Linked DNA regions of Saccharomyces cerevisiae S288C. Changing the gene in region 1 together with any one later gene gives a genetic interaction. Each region holds a gene or a part of one and is shown in the gene's direction. Other genes may lie near its edges. The genes, in order: URC2 and QRI1.

The links.
Region 2: mutations in URC2 (region 1) and QRI1 together harm fitness more than expected from each alone (negative genetic interaction), as found in Saccharomyces cerevisiae (2 studies listed by BioGRID).

What each region holds. Positions count from the first base shown.
Region 1 is NC_001136.10:1,480,445-1,485,329, reverse strand, and holds URC2 (Urc2p), read left to right. Parts: upstream 1-1,926; coding exon 1,927-4,245; downstream 4,246-4,885. Other genes in the region: SPS2 (Sps2p), read left to right, coding at 27-1,535; peptidylprolyl isomerase family protein FPR2, read right to left, coding at 4,498-4,885. UniProt on the Saccharomyces cerevisiae protein: Probable transcriptional activator involved in uracil catabolism.
Region 2 is NC_001136.10:274,326-278,572, reverse strand, and holds QRI1 (UDP-N-acetylglucosamine diphosphorylase), read left to right. Parts: upstream 1-1,991; coding exon 1,992-3,425; downstream 3,426-4,247. Other genes in the region: DNA-directed DNA polymerase delta POL3, read right to left, coding at 1-1,701; QRI7 (putative N(6)-L-threonylcarbamoyladenine synthase), read left to right, coding at 3,697-4,247. UniProt on the Saccharomyces cerevisiae protein: UDP-N-acetylglucosamine pyrophosphorylase that utilizes N-acetylglucosamine-1-phosphate as substrate. Together with AGM1, is involved in the production of UDP-N-acetylglucosamine from N-acetylglucosamine-6-phosphate.

The sequences.
Region 1 (4,885 bases):
TGGCATTACTTAGACTATAAAAGAAAATGCCAATTTGGAAAACACAAACATTCTTCACTAGTATTTCTGTTATTCAAATAGTCAATAAAGAAACCAAAGTTTCTACAAAAAAAGAAAAGGATAGCATGTTGAACCAGTTGAACACAATCTTAAGATTTTTATTCTTGTTTCTGCAGTTAATTAAATCATCCGCTGCAGTTGAACCTAATGGTGGACCGAATATTCTAGATCACAACATTATGTTGGTTAACACTAATGCAACGATCCCTAAAAAGGAACAAACTGATTTTGAGGTGATTTCTCCAACAAAACAAACACAAGTAGATGAAGACTGTAAAAAAGGCTTGTATCATATTGAGAATGCTGGAAATTTGATTGAACTGCAAGCTAAATGTTGGAAAGTGGTAGGAAACATTGAAATATCAAGTAACTACAGCGGATCTCTTATTGATCTAGGGTTAATAAGAGAGATAGAGGGAGATCTTATTATCAAGAATAACAAACACATTTTTAGAATCCAGGGTTATAATTTAGAGTCTTTGGGAAAGTTGGAATTGGATAGCCTAACTTCCTTTGTATCATTAGACTTTCCCGCTTTAAAAGAAGTTGAAACCGTTGATTGGAGAGTTTTGCCTATTCTAAGTAGTGTTGTCATTAACGGAAATATTAAAAAGATCAAAAATATTATCATATCTGATACTGCATTAACCTCCATCGATTACTTCAATAACGTCAAGAAAGTGGATATTTTCAATATCAACAATAACAGGTTTTTAGAAAATTTATTCGCAAGTTTAGAAAGTGTTACTAAACAACTAACCGTCCACTCTAATGCCAAAGAGCTGGAACTTGATTTGAGCAACTTACACACGGTTGAAAATATGACCATTAAGGACGTTTCAGAAATTAAACTAGCTAAACTTTCCTCTGTGAACAGTTCTCTAGAGTTCATCGAGAATCAATTTTCAAGCTTGGAACTACCACTTTTGGCAAAAGTTCAAGGAACGTTGGGGTTAATAGATAATAAAAATCTGAAAAAGCTAAACTTTTCGAATGCCACCGATATTCAAGGGGGTCTAATGATTGCTAACAATACAGAGCTTGCCAAAATTGATTTCTTCCCCAAGTTGAGGCAAATTGGCGGTGCAATATATTTTGAAGGTAGCTTTGATAAAATTGACCTCCCAGAGCTAAAGTTAGTAAAAGGTAGCGCTTATATCAAAAGTTCATCTGAGGAATTAAACTGTGAAGAATTTACATCACCAAAAGCCGGTCGTTCGATCATAAGAGGCGGTAAAATCGAATGCACATCTGGTATGAAAAGTAAAATGCTGAATGTTGATGAAGAGGGGAATGTACTAGGAAAGCAGGAAACTGACAATGATAATGGAAAGAAAGAAAAAGGAAAAAATGGTGCAAAAAGTCAAGGAAGTTCAAAGAAGATGGAAAACAGTGCTCCGAAGAACATTTTTATTGATGCTTTCAAAATGTCAGTTTATGCAGTTTTCACGGTATTGTTCTCGATAATTTTTTAGGTTAGAAGATTAACTTAAATACTAGCCATTTTATTTAGTTCTTATGAGATATAAATTTGCAGTAGAGATGTAGTGTTCTGATTATCTTCACCTGGAGCATAGCGTAGCCCACTTAGCATCAGCTTTTTATGTTATTTCAGGCATTACCAAAACTGGTTAAACTATTGAAACTGTTACCCTCCTTTTAATTTTGACAGTTTTTGAATAATTATTATGGTAGATCATCTTAACAAAATGAGCTCATTAGGTAGATGATTTAATTGAAAAATAGTGTTTTGATACGGTTCTTCCTTAGGGTTAAAACCACTCACATTTTGCTTACTCACCATTAAAACATCTTTCCCAGTTGTATTTTATATTTCTTTCGGTTTGCTGAACATCAGGGAAAAAAATGGATATAAACTCAAATGCCTCAGTAAGCCCCAGACCAGATGGTTTACCGATGACTGCTGGATATAATTCTGCTTCTGGAAAGGTGCGAAATAGTATCAGATCCATAATAAACCACCCAGAGGATAGTGCAAGAGCCAAAGAGCGCAGTGAAACGAACAGTCCTAAGAATAATGGCAACAAAAAACCTAGAAAGAAAAGAAAAACATTTAGTTGTGATACTTGCAGGAGAGTGAAGACAAGGTGCGATTTTGAACCTTTCATTGGAAAATGTTACAGATGTAACGTTCTGCAGCTTGATTGCTCCTTAGCCAGGAATAAAGACAATGAAATTTTGAATACTTTACGTGAGGATGGTCTACTAAAGAAGATCAACTCAATTAATCACAACCTTGGTTCTTTCTCTCATTTGAATGCGGACTCTCCCAACGAAAGCCAAAGTAGTTTTGAAAAGAATGGAACGGTCAATTTTGATAATTACATGATCGATAAAAGGCTTTCATCTTTAGAAGAGCACATAAAATCTTTACACCAGAAAATGGACTTGATAATCACCACAGCAAAGATGTCTTATAACAGCGATATCAAAGGCCCTGGAGATGATATTCAGAACGTGGATTTCAGCTCAAATAAGACGTACGATAGTCGTCTAACTTCGGGCTCAGAGACGATAAGGAAAACAGGGGAATATAGAAAAGAAAATCTTTTCTTAAATGGATTTAAGTTGAAGGAATCTCCTTTAAAATTGCTACATGATATTGATGAGAGGCTATTTCCATCGAAGGCTACATCTAAAGCTGCGAAGCTAGCTGGACAGCAAAGGCCATATGCTGTTGCAAGAGTGAACTTTCTCCATTTTTATGAGAATAATCAGGAATTATGCCATAAGCTTGCAAAAGAATTTCTGGTGAGATCCCATTTCTGGATAATTCCAGGTGGGAGAAAAGAGATAGACGTGGAATATGCCCACTCACACCTATTTATTACAAGTGTTTTTACTATTATCGCTATGAGTTTTGCTGACAACGATAAATACGCTGCAGAACAAGAAATATTGTATCCTTTAGTGGAGAGATTACTCACTAATACGTTAACCATGTTTGAAAAGTTAACAGCGTTTGATATTGAGGCTATTTTATATTGCTGTATGTTCCATATTTCGCGAAAGGCAAAGAGATATAGGCAACTGAAGTTTAATTCTCTGGTACTAAGCAATTTTGCGCTCAATAGCTTGTTACATGTAATAGATTTTTATCAGATAAAGGATAGGGTTTTGGTAAAAGAAGTGTATAATCCCGAAGATCTTTATCATCTAAGAATACTAAATTCACTAACTGCCTGCTATTTAGAATATTCCATTAGTTACGGCGATATTAGGGAACAGGATGATATGCTTAAAGAGTTTAATAAACTTGTGGCGAAATTTCCTCAGGCGAATTTTGGTGATGACATTAAAATCAGTGAGATAAATTTAGGTGACATCGTAAATGGCATCTTTATAAACCTTAAAAATTATTTTGCGCAGTGTTTGGATGACTTTAACAATGACAGATATGGAGGTAACGCAGATACTTTTATCTTTGTTTTTCCAGAGCTAAATTATTGGCTGAAAAATTGGGAAGAGCTTTTAGCAAAGGATGGCGCGGGCGTGCTATTGTTCACATTTGATTTTTATCATATCATGATATGTCGCACTTTTATCACAGAATTTTCTTCCACGCTAAAAAGCAACCAAAGGTTTTTGAAACTAATTCTTAATACGATGAAAGAACATTCATTTTCGCTGTTGAATGGGTTTTTGAGACTACCGCCAACGTTAATAAGGGGTGCTCCGATTTTTACTTGTCATCAACTAGTCTACGCCTGTTTAACTCTTTGTGACTATCTTTATTGGTTCGATTCTTCTGAACGTCAACGCGTTTTGAGTCTTTGTACAAAAGTGTACTGGCATTTGAGCACTATAGGGGAAAAAATGAATGAGGCTACTGATAACGTTGGAAAAATCATAAAATCTATAATTGATACTAGTAAGACTCGTATTAATTTTGGCAGTTTGTCAAAAGAGAATAGTGATAATGATAAAATGTCGACTAATGCTAATAACTACACAGGAGCAGGAAATCTGCACGCCGCGAAACCCGCTACTTCGCCTACTAATGTTGGTACTTTGCACGAGAACTTGTCCAGTAGTCACTTCATGATTCCTGACGTCGACCAATTCAATTCCTTTGAAGACTTTTTTCAGGATTTTTTTGATAGTTTAAAACCAAATTCCCAAAAAATGTTTACCAGCGATAAGAAGACTGAACAAACTACTTAAACTATTTTTATTAAGAGGGAAAAAATTCATACCCAAACTAGATTGAATAACATTTCTTTATATTAATATATTGTAGTTAGAGCCCTTTTATTTTATTTTGCTGCAAACATAATATACACAACCATAATTACATTGAAACTTGACATGATGGCTGGCATCCTCATATGGATATATTTTCAACTATAAAAAAAAGTTTGCCACATACGTACTCCATGCATCTTGTTGCAGATATGTGCCTGAGTGCCAATTTACCTAGGCGGCTGATTTCACGTCTACCAATTCGACATCAAACACCAAATCAGCACTTGGAGGAATGACGCCTGGGACACCTCTTTCTCCGTAGGCCAAAGAACTTGGAATTTGCAGCTTTCTTTTTTCGCCAACGCACATGCCGGCAACACCTTGATCCCAACCTTTAATTACTCTGCCAACGCCAAGTTCAAAAGCGATAGGAGAGCCTCTTGAATAACTTGAGTCAAATACAGTTCCCGATTCTAATAAAGATCCTGTATAATGAACCTTAACTTTATCACCTGGCATTGCCTTAATTAAGCAATCTTCTACCGGTATTCTCTTGATAATACCGATTTCCAAATCTGACAGGGAACCTGCAAGAATGGTGGAAAAAAAAGTGACGAAA
Region 2 (4,247 bases), 1.2 Mb from region 1:
CTTTCGAAATAGTTGAGAAACAACTTTAATTTGTTGACCACGAGCTAGTAAATATGAAAATGGCACACCTGTAACACGAGCCATTTCTGTATAGTTAACTAACGCCATTAGTTTTTCCATAAGCCTTAAAGGCAGGTAGGCGTCTTTCAAACAGTAAACGGCCAACCTTCTTCTTGTTTCACTATCGCCATTTTGTAGATCAGAAATGATGCTATAATGTACATCCTCCTTCTGTTCACCTAAAAAGTGCGCAGAGACTGCATTCAACGTGTAGGATCTTAGTTTATACTCACGCTGAATAAATTGCAAAAGATCCAACTGTAATCGGCCGTCAATATTGACATTTTTGGTTTCTCTTGTACCATAAGCCTTCGAAGAGAACACAGACTCTTTAATTTCTTGCTTAACGGTTTTTAACCTTCCAAAATATGGGAAATCATTCACCTTTAGCGCCTTTGCACGGTTTAAAAGATAAGGGATATCAAAATTTGTAGTATTATAACCAATGATAACATCAGGATCAACTTTGATGATAAAGTTACGCCAATTGCTCAACATTTCCTCTTCAGTGGCGTGGGAAAAAATCATTGAACCTGTTATGGGTGAGCATGTATTCAGAGTAAACACATTACGAATGAATGGTTTCTTAGCGCCAGCAATACTCACAACGTTGGCAATTTGGATGACGGGATCGTATTCAGGTTCCGGAAAGACGCCAATCCTACCAGCACACTCGATATCAAAGGACATGATACGCAATGGAGCTGTATGAGACCAATCACCCTCAGCAGGATGTGCTATTAGGTTACGATAATTAATTGAAACTTCCAACTGACAAGAGGAAACTCTGTTATTAGGCTCAATCATCGAATACTTTCCTTTTGGTAATGTTATCCAGGACATACCGACAATTCCACAATCTACCATTAACCTTAAAGTGTAGGCAATGTTATCATAAGTAGTCGTGCCGTTAGAAAACCACGAGTTGAATGAAAGATGACCTCTTTCAAACGCAGTACGCAGTTTGTTGACCATATGCGGATAGGTGACGTATATTTTCCAGAATGGTAATTTGGTATCTCCGGAATAACCCCAGATAGACTGTTTAGATACAACTTCAATCGAATCAATAGCGTGGTCAAATGTTTCGTTTAAATAGTGCACAAACTTGTTGATTTGCTCCTGATCGTTAGCGTCGGAAGAATTGGGCGCTGGGACGTAAAGATAGTTCTTGAACCCTGTAACATTACAAAGTACAGAGTGTCCTTCACTAGTGACACCAAAAAACCTTACCACGGTAGATGTATTTTCATCTTTGATACCATTCAGTACGCTCTGTTCCGCATCAATTTGTTGGAAAGAAATATCATACAAACTTGGGTCAAAATCGGTTGGAAGTTTCTTACGCTCGAATGATGACAGGTCATGCTCTTCTTGGTCGGCCATATCATGTTCCATTTGCGATAGCTCTTGTTCAAAAGTAGACTCTAATTGCGTACCCATTAAATCTGTATCCTTTGCTTTGAAGCCTTGACTATTATATTTTCGAAAAGAATCACTCGGAATAATCTCTATTGTTGAAACAGGTTCACTTCCAACACCATGATCTATTGATTGCCGTTTGATTTTCTTTTCCAACTGGGGAGTATCCTCGTCATCGATCTTCACATCAACCATGGGAAGGGATCTTTTTTCACTCATTGCTGTGCGTATATGTATAAAGATTAATGCTTAATAGCAAGTGCTCAATATCTATTTTCCTTTATCCTTGAAAATTGCCTTAGATCAGTAGTACTGAGTGTTTGTTCTTCATAAGCGAATAGCAGATGTCCTCATTGAACATTTTATAGAATAAAAAGTTACGCGTAATACGAAAAATTGCCTATTACGTTAAGGCATACTTTTACCACACAAAACCAAGATCAACCGTCAAGCAAGAACGCTGCAAAGAAACGCAGATATAAAGGAGAACACCAGATCGAACTGCAACTATGACTGACACAAAACAGCTATTCATTGAAGCCGGACAAAGTCAACTTTTCCACAATTGGGAAAGCTTGTCTCGCAAAGACCAAGAAGAATTGCTTTCAAACCTGGAGCAAATATCTTCCAAGAGGTCCCCTGCAAAACTACTGGAAGACTGTCAAAATGCTATTAAATTCTCACTAGCTAACTCTTCTAAGGATACTGGCGTCGAAATTTCACCATTGCCCCCTACTTCGTACGAGTCGCTTATTGGCAACAGTAAGAAAGAAAATGAATACTGGCGTTTAGGCCTTGAAGCTATTGGCAAGGGTGAAGTCGCAGTGATTTTAATGGCTGGCGGACAAGGTACGCGGTTAGGATCCTCTCAACCAAAGGGCTGTTACGACATTGGATTGCCTTCTAAGAAATCTCTTTTTCAAATTCAAGCTGAAAAGTTGATCAGGTTGCAAGATATGGTAAAGGACAAAAAGGTAGAAATTCCTTGGTATATTATGACATCAGGCCCCACTAGAGCGGCTACTGAGGCATACTTTCAAGAACACAATTATTTTGGCTTGAATAAAGAACAAATTACGTTCTTCAACCAGGGAACCCTGCCTGCCTTTGATTTAACCGGGAAGCATTTCCTAATGAAAGACCCAGTAAACCTATCTCAATCACCAGATGGAAATGGTGGACTCTACCGTGCCATCAAGGAAAACAAGTTGAACGAAGACTTTGATAGGAGAGGAATCAAGCATGTTTACATGTACTGTGTCGATAATGTCCTATCTAAAATCGCAGACCCTGTATTTATTGGTTTTGCCATCAAGCATGGCTTCGAACTGGCCACCAAAGCCGTTAGAAAGAGAGATGCGCATGAATCAGTTGGGTTAATTGCTACTAAAAACGAGAAACCATGTGTCATAGAATATTCTGAAATTTCCAATGAATTGGCTGAAGCAAAGGATAAAGATGGCTTATTAAAACTACGCGCAGGCAACATTGTAAATCATTATTACCTAGTGGATTTACTAAAACGTGATTTGGATCAGTGGTGTGAGAATATGCCATATCACATTGCGAAGAAGAAAATTCCAGCTTATGATAGTGTTACCGGCAAGTACACTAAGCCTACCGAACCAAACGGTATAAAATTAGAGCAATTCATATTTGATGTCTTTGACACTGTACCACTGAACAAGTTTGGGTGCTTAGAAGTAGATAGATGCAAAGAATTTTCACCTTTAAAAAACGGTCCTGGTTCTAAGAACGATAATCCTGAGACCAGCAGACTAGCATATTTGAAACTAGGAACCTCGTGGTTGGAAGATGCAGGCGCTATTGTAAAAGATGGGGTACTAGTCGAAGTTTCCAGCAAATTGAGTTATGCAGGTGAAAATCTATCCCAGTTCAAAGGTAAAGTCTTTGACAGAAGTGGTATAGTATTAGAAAAATAACTGTTTGAGCTACTTATGAAGCACTTTTAACATGTAATTGAAAAGTACTCGTAATTGTGATTCAATATATATAATAAAATATTTCGTACTCTGAAAAATAGCTAAATTACTTGTTTTATGTAATTTCTATTTGGCGGATCCGCTCTGCCAATGGAAAGAGTGGCATCTTCATTGCGCGATGATTAATTGACAATGAAATTAAAGCAAACAGCGATTCTCAAGCTCTGAAATAAGTAGAGTAGAAGAAAGGATAGAAACTTTTTTTTTCATTATGATATCAATAAAAGGAACCGGAAGATTTCTCCTCGATAACTATAGAATTTGGCAGAGGCGTGCATTCAACAGACCAATACAGTTAAGAAAAGGCTATAAAGTTTTAGCCATTGAGACTTCTTGCGATGATACATGCGTTTCAGTTTTGGACAGGTTCTCAAAAAGTGCAGCTCCTAATGTGCTAGCCAATTTGAAAGATACTTTAGATAGTATTGACGAAGGAGGTATTATACCAACAAAGGCTCATATCCATCACCAAGCTCGGATAGGACCCTTAACCGAAAGAGCCCTGATAGAAAGCAATGCGAGAGAAGGAATTGATCTCATATGTGTTACAAGAGGCCCTGGTATGCCTGGTTCATTATCAGGAGGATTAGATTTTGCAAAAGGTTTAGCTGTTGCCTGGAACAAACCACTGATTGGTGTGCATCACATGCTGGGACACTTGCTGATACCAAGAATGGGTACAAATGGAAAAGTGCCTCAATTTCCCTTTGTTAGCCTGCTGGTTAGTGGTGGTCATACTACGTTTGTTTTGTCACGAGCAAT